Linked DNA regions of Nothobranchius furzeri. The protein of the gene in region 1 binds, or shares a complex with, the protein of each later gene. Links are inferred from orthologs where the notes say so. Each region holds a gene or a part of one and is shown on either strand. Other genes may lie near its edges.

Region 1 (3,422 bases):
TTCTCTATTTGTCACAGGGAAAATGAGTATTCATGGCTCCGCCCACCTTGGCTTGCTACCACAAAAGGCTGTTGTTAGCCATTTTTACAAAACAATGCCGCCAATTTGCCACAACGCCATGGCGGCATTGGGGAGCCTTAGGTTGTTTGAGTGGTCAGTCCGTGGCAGTAATGTGGCGCAATCGTGTCCTTTTTACAAAAGATTAGGCGATGGCGATCTTGCTTTTTGTTGCGATTGAAGCCGTGCTCGTTACGTTTTTTTTTTTTTTTTTGACAAGCCGCTCCTAAAGGTGTCTGTTCCCCACATTCCCTGTGCAGTCTCTGGTGATCTGACCTCCGGCTCTAATGGAGAGAAGCTCCAGGAGCGCTGCATTGCTTCAGGTTGCCGTTTTTACTTTAATTTTCAATATAGTTGTCGGCCGGAACTCTGCAGTAACTCCCCACGTCATCATGACACCTCCCTCTGTTGCACCGAGGCGCAATCGCCATTTATAAGACATTTACTGCAATGTTACTACTAAGCAAGGTGGAACAAATGCCATAAAATTCACCCATCGTCATGCCAGCACGGCGCGTTTATAAGGCACTGTTGCAATATTACGCCGGTTTGCCGGCACAGTGAATCTTGTAAAAAGCACTTTTGATTTTGCAGCCAGGAGATAGCATCTCCGCTAATAGAAGCTAACCATTAGCCACTCCACAACATGGTGGAGCATTCAGGCTCGTGTTATTTGACGAGATAAAACATCTACGTTGAGTTATTTACACAAGAAAGGCAAAGCTGCCTTATTTCTGCAGCACAGTTCATACACAGAGACAATTCGATGTGCTTTGAATTAGCAAGAATAGCACGAGCATCAAAGTAACGTGACAGCACAATCAAAGTACACAAATGAAATGAGAACAGATTAATCTGGAAAAAAATACTTTAAAGTTAAAGGGTGAGCAGTTACAGTGCAGAAGGTGCAGCATAGGAAACATCCAAAGGCTGATGAATACATGAATGTTTTCAGATAGAAGAGTGAACGAAGGCAGCGGAAGAGTCACGTTGCTGTTAGCCAAGTAGAGGCCAGATGCTTGCATGTCATGAATGTAAATGGGTAATGGACTCTAAATTTTGCTCCGCCCCCAAAAACAATCTTCTAACTAACTTCAACTTCCTGAAACAGGAGCACCAGAGCTTTTTCTCCCCCCACAGAAAGCAACTCATTAATTTATACAGCAGATTTCTTGGATAAACAAGTGAATATGACGTTTAAAAACTTCACGTAGTTTCACTCAAAAACATTTGGGACAAATTCTCTTCCTACAAATGAAACGATTCTGAATCACCAAGTCCATAATAATGCTTAAAGAGTCTTTCGTTCCTTGTCGTCCGTATTTTTCTTTGAACATCTTAGGTGTGTTGTTGCTGTGTCGTATCTCTAAGTCCATGCTGCCGTTCTTCTTTAAAACACAGAGCAGTTTTGTTTACCTGTTTTCCCGCTACGTTTCGTTTCCTCAGCCTGAGGAAGTCTGCAGCCGCAAACGAAACGTAGCGGGAAAACGGGTCAACAAAACTGCTCTGTGTTTTAAAGAAGAACTACAGCATGGGCTTAAAGAGTCTGTCTGAGTTTTTACCCAGTGACCTCTGTCTGCAGCACGGCCTTCACAGCCCTTTCAGACACCGTATAAAAGTCAGGTTGTGTTCAGTCTTGGTTATGATGCTTGACAGGGATCTCCCTGACTTAAGTGTGCTGTTTGCAGGGTCCTAAACTCAGCGGGGTTCTCCCTGCTCCTCACCAAACAGTTGCTCTTTATGGCAGCACGGCAGACCTCCCCTGTGTGGAGGATGTGCTGCAGGCTGCCTACAAGCTTCCTGCATGACGCAGATTTGCCATTTAAAGCCACACTGGCCGTGTTCATCGTTAGCCAAGCGGGTTCCTACTCAGGAGCCCTGTTTCTGATTATCCTTCCAGTTTATGGGGAAATGTATGCTCGGTGGCAGACGGGCCTGGAGTTGATTATGGAGATAATTTTCATTCCTTTGTTCTTTCTCATGCTTTAATTGTCTCAGAGCTGCTCTGATTTGATCTGTGTGATGTGTAAAAGATAACAGTCGCCAAATCTTGTATTTGTGAAAGGAAAATCCAACGTTTTCCTAAAAGGAAACTGCTCTTGTTTTCTACAGACGATGGCCAAAGTGATTACTTCCATGCTGAAGTTTTCTCCAGACCAAGCCCAGAAGGTTTTGGACAAAGAGGATTCAAAAACAATCGTAAGCATCTTGTTACGATCCGAGCACATTGTAAACCCCTCAGATGTGAGTTTTAGTAGCTCCATCAGCATTAATCTTCTCTTCATGCCTCCACAGCCTTGGTTACGATGAGCGTCTGACTTCTGATGTTCTGCTGCTGCTGAAGGAGAAGACAGCCATGATGTATATCAAGCGCTTTTCCATATTTCATTTTTTATGAGTGTGTGTGCGCGAGCGTGCGTGTGTGAGTGAGTACAGTATGAGGGAATTCGGTATTTTGTCAGAAACATGAAAATCTTCCATAATCTACATTAAAATAAATTTTATTTATGTTTTAGATCAAGGTAAGAGGCTTTCCTGTTGTGTTTATACAGACTGGCTTGTGCAATAAAAGATCTCGCATACTGACGCCGACAGTCGGTTGATTTCTATGTTTTTGTTTTGTGCTCTTGTCTGAATCACACCTGTTATTTTGTAAAGGACCCTTCAACTTTGCTCTTGCACTAAATTAACCTTCTGGTCTCTGGACCTCTTTTGTTCACAGCTTTTTTACACTTTATATTTTAAAATGGTTAAAAAATCCAAACCCAAGAGTGTAAATTGTATAATAAAAAAGACAAACTGTAATATAGGGCATTTAGTGATTTGCTTCACATTTTTCAGACTAATAAATACAATATGAAACTATTTACCAATCACGTTTTGTCACTTTATCCTTTTTTACGATGTTTACACTTTAATTGTCTTTATTTACTTTTTGCTCACAGTTTAATGTTTTTTGTCGCAATGCATGCAACAAGAAATCGGCATTTTAAAGATGATGCCACATCATGTTTGTAATATTTTTCTTGAGAATGTTAGAACTACTTTTCTTATTGTTTAGTATACTTTTTGATGAATACAGAAATGCAGGCATTTAAATAGAAGTTAATCTCATTGGTCATGTGTCTGATGTGAAAAGCTGGTTTTTATTTCTCCTTGGGGCTAAGATCTGAGTGGGTTTTGCAGGAAATAGTGATGCAAGAACAGAATCGGTGACAAAGCATCACTGAATAGATCCAGTCTGCAAGGATGTTGGTAAAAACTCAAACGTTGCTCCAGTCAGCAGATAAGTGGCAGTTTTTCATTTGCATTAGTTCCCTTAATTTATACTTCTACTGGGGGGTGCTTATAGGGTTGTTCTTACT
Region 2 (4,030 bases), on another chromosome or scaffold:
TAATTATTACCCCTGATTCAAAAGGTATAGAGGGTTTTAAACGTCCTTAAATAAGAACGCATAAGGTCAACTTTGCTGAAGCCATCAGCTGGTTGACTTTCATCACCACTCCTGGCATTTCCTCTGCAATCAGGCTAAGATGTCATGACTTTTAGTGATGTCTAAACTTGTGGTCAGATCAGGAAAAAGCCACACCTGTAAGAGACGTATGCAGAGACTTCTCCTGTTTTCTTTGTCTGTCACATATAAAATCATCACTTAATTTTTATATTTATAATAATGTCATAAAACACATTGTGTCTCACCTGTTCTGGTATTAAATGTAACTACAAAGACTGACACAATCTGGTCCTTTTCCTCCCACTTCACCATCCTGTCTTCCAGAGACACCTCTATGGCTCCTGGATCCGACAGATGCGCGTCCTTGTCGGGAGGCTGCGCTTCATCCACCGCCGCCGGAGCGCCGGAGGTCGCGGGTGGGGCACCGCAGCCGTCTCCGTTGGACACAGTCCTGGTGGGACCCCCTGGTCCGCTGCTCCACCCAAACCCAGAGCATCCTGAAGGGGCTCGGTTGTTGGGCGGGCTGGACAGCCGCTCCTTAACGTGAGGGACCGCAGGTGCCTTTCCGTCGGTTTTCTCCGCTGTCGGCACCTCCTCCCAGTCCAGCAGGGGGGCTCGGTCCGACCGCTCCACCATCCTGTTCGGTGGTGCCGCCTTGTCGGTCTCTCACCGCCTATGGTAAACGATGTCTCAGGCGACAGCCACCGAGTCCACCCGCGGATAATTAAATCTCACTGCATTTCATACATATCAAAGTTATTTCTAACTGTTCACAATGGCTACATTTTGCTCTGAATTCGCATGAAGTGTTGCAAATTCTTTCTAATAACTGGAGATCATAAATTTGATGCTGCTCAGAAAGGGCAACTCCTTTTGGCTGAAGTTGCGTTCAAAACCATACATTTATTGTCGCACATGCTAAGAAAAACAACCATTGGATGTTTCGAAGCGCAAATTCAATCGCGTTTCTTGAACGTACCCCATCCCCGAGCGTCCCTTGGCTTGTGAAGATTTTGACGAGCCGCACTTTCTATTAAAATATATTAATATTTTTTACGAGGTGCACACAAACACTTGAAACTTCAATGTTCTGAAAGATAACGTTTTTATATTTTATTTCAAGAATATATTTTACGTTTGTTAAATATGTAGTTGTTGTGTTGATTTACAGATGGTGACGTTGTTTGTGTGACGAATGTGCGAAAGTGAACTCAAGCGAACGTTGATCACTTCCTGCAATGACACGTCAACCAGACGGAACTAACCTGTCAGTTCATCGGGTCCGCGCTTTTGACGAAAATGGGTGAGTTTTATATACTCCTAGAACATAATGTGAATACTTTTCACTTGTTTTATGCAAACTACTCTTGTAAGAAGTGATAAATCGAATTTTCATCCCTGCCCCAGCCCTTTAACGCAATAGGAGACGCCAGTTAGCCTAAGCTGGCTAACATCTACAGTGAATTTTGACGTGCGTTGTCCTTTCAAAATTAATCGTTTTCATTAGGTTTTTATGCGGGGAGCTTGAATATATTGCTTACCACCAATGCCGTTCCATATGCAACGATGTTTAACTTTATTGGTTAGAAAACGTGATAACTTTAAACAGGCAAGCTAATATCCGCTAGCTTGCTCAGCCACAGATTGTTGTAAAATGTGCCAAAACAAGACCACTTAGTAGGTATTTTAAGGGTTTCTAGTGGTATAGCCGTTAGTTTACACTTGGTTTCCTTCAAGAATCTCTTTAGGTATTTTAAGTATTCTCAAATCTGAGACTTATATTTTTCCACATTTTCTGTATTCATTGAGTAAGATCCACGTTGCTTTGTGTCATTATCTACTGAGATATTAAGGGAATGGGTCAGCCCCATAAAGCCAAGTTTAGAAATCTATTCACTTTAATTCTGGTTTTGCGTGTTTCCTCTGCAGGGGGTTTCTTCTCTAGTCTGTTCTCTGGCTTGTTTGGTACCAGAGAGATGAGGATTCTGATCCTGGGTTTGGACGGTGCAGGAAAAACTACCATTTTGTACAGGCTGCAGGTTGGAGAGGTGGTCACCACAATACCTAGTATGTACTGCTTGTCTTCCTTCTCTTCGTTTCTTTTTTTAAATTAAACTCAATCACTAGAAAACCAGCTAATACCAGTGAGATTATAATTATTTTCCAAAGAGCATCTTCAGACCCAGATCTTATGAATGCTTTAAATCCTTAAAAATGCTTGAATTTTATTGTGGTATTTTCCACAAGGATGTACTTTTATTACGATTTTTACAGAGCATGAGTTCTTATATTTATATTTGATGCAAGTTACTTCAGAGTTTTAATTAATTATTATATAAAATTAAAGATAATTGTAAAGCACTTTCAATTGCCTTTGTGTTTGGAATGTGCTCTATAAATAAAGCTGCCTTGCCTTGCCTAATGCCAGTGATCCAAGATACAGTTTGATATAACACAGAAATAAGGCAGAATTTTTGTTTTGGCTTATTTTTTTAAACTGACAATAACTCTTTCAGAAGCAGTCAGGGAAACCTGTAACATAGAGCAAGGTCTGGCGCCCTCGCTAGAATATTGAAATTATTTTTATTCGGTTTATATTTCATCTGACCTGTATACAGTGTCCTGCTGGTCATGTGTCAAAATTTGATCAACACCAGAGTAGGGCTGGGCAATAAATAAAAAATTTATCATTATCGAAATTTCTGACTCTTATTGAGATCATTTTTCCCATGTCAGTAAATTTGATAATAAAATAATGGAAGAATTATGTGTAGGTTGGCAACATTCATGTCGCTTTAACAAGCTGTTCCACCATGTGTCACGTAAAAATGTGACTCAATGTAATACTTGTGGCAGCCCCCTCTAGTGGAAAACTTTTGTTTCTGCGCATACCTGTAGTTATCGTCCATTTATCGTTATCAAGGTGAAATCCTCAATTTATCGTGATATTGATTTTAGGCCATCGCCCAGCCCTACTCCAGAAAAGTTTCCATCTTTCCTGGGATGTGAAAAGATTACAAAAAATATAGTATTTTTAGTGTTTGCGTCAGTTAATTTGGTCTGGACTTGATGTACATACATCGACCAATGTGTAAATAATCAAACTGAAACTTTCAGATCAAACGTCTCTGATTAAAGCTAATGTGAGAAATGGCTTTTTCATGACCAATAAATACACAAATGTCCTGTTGTAGACATTTGAAAGTGTGCTTGATTTATAATTGCTAACACCATGTAATGCTACAGGACTCTTCTTAATTAGTTATGATAATTAGATATTTATTTGTGCAGAATGAAAGGTGTTTGTGAATAAGTATTTCTGTGGTGCGAGTGCAGGATGTCCAAGTCCTTCAACACTGGAGGACATTCATCTTAATAAAATAGAAAAGTATTGGGGACAAACTAGACGTGTCCCAGATATTTTGTTGTCTTATCAGTTTTGTATCAAAGCATATTGCAGGACACTAGTGTGATATTAAAATGATAAATGTGGCACATTGTTTCTGATAAGATGGCTTGAGTAATCATCAGCAAGAGACTCGTGTGATTTGAATGTGTAGAGCCAGCCTTATGAAACCTATTTTTTAGTATTTTCCCCCACAAAATAAGTCTTTTCCATTTTTATTTTTAAGAATAAAACTTTTTATACCATCAAACTCTAAATTATGAAAACATAAGCAAAAAAAAGTAATGAAAGTTTTGAAATGGGGTCACAAAGGGCACTAAATCTGTCAAGTTTAGCTTTAAAGTCTGACACAGATTATTTGTGTTTTTCATCTGTGAATATGAGGAGATGTAAAATACGATGATAGATTTCATGGTCTGGAGACTCCACCTGGTTTTGTTTCAACTAGAATTATAATGACTCATACTTGTATAGTGCCTTTCAGAGTCAGGACTCCAAAGCGCTTTACATTATAAATATAGTGTAGTATATACCGTAGATATACTATGGATCCACTATAAGTCT

The links. The genes of interacting proteins can lie anywhere in the genome.
Region 2: the proteins of golga4 (region 1) and arl1 are in contact, whole or in part, in a crystal structure (PDB 1UPT), measured with the Homo sapiens proteins. The link is inferred for Nothobranchius furzeri from reciprocal best matches to the Homo sapiens genes GOLGA4 and ARL1. Residues at the interface, in NP_002069.2 of Homo sapiens: Thr2173, Glu2174, Glu2176, Tyr2177, Lys2180, Val2181, Glu2184, Glu2190, Thr2193, Lys2196, Val2197, Thr2200, Val2201; in NP_001168.1 of Homo sapiens: Ile49, Gly50, Phe51, Gln64, Trp66, Ser73, Ile74, Pro76, Tyr77, Cys80, Tyr81, Ser83, Glu115.

The regions. Positions count from the first base shown.
Region 1 is NC_091752.1:16,173,372-16,176,793, reverse strand, and holds the end of golga4 (golgin subfamily A member 4), read left to right. Parts: intron 1-2,169; coding exon 2,170-2,256; intron 2,257-2,352; coding exon 2,353-2,367; 3' UTR 2,368-2,922; downstream 2,923-3,422. UniProt on the Homo sapiens protein: Involved in vesicular trafficking at the Golgi apparatus level. May play a role in delivery of transport vesicles containing GPI-linked proteins from the trans-Golgi network through its interaction with MACF1. Involved in endosome-to-Golgi trafficking.
Region 2 is NC_091741.1:56,892,177-56,896,206, reverse strand, and holds the start of arl1 (ADP-ribosylation factor-like protein 1), read left to right. Parts: upstream 1-1,230; 5' UTR 1,231-1,359; coding exon 1,360-1,363; intron 1,364-1,989; coding exon 1,990-2,127; intron 2,128-4,030. Other genes in the region: DENN domain-containing protein 11, read right to left, coding at 306-696. UniProt on the Homo sapiens protein: GTP-binding protein that recruits several effectors, such as golgins, arfaptins and Arf-GEFs to the trans-Golgi network, and modulates their functions at the Golgi complex.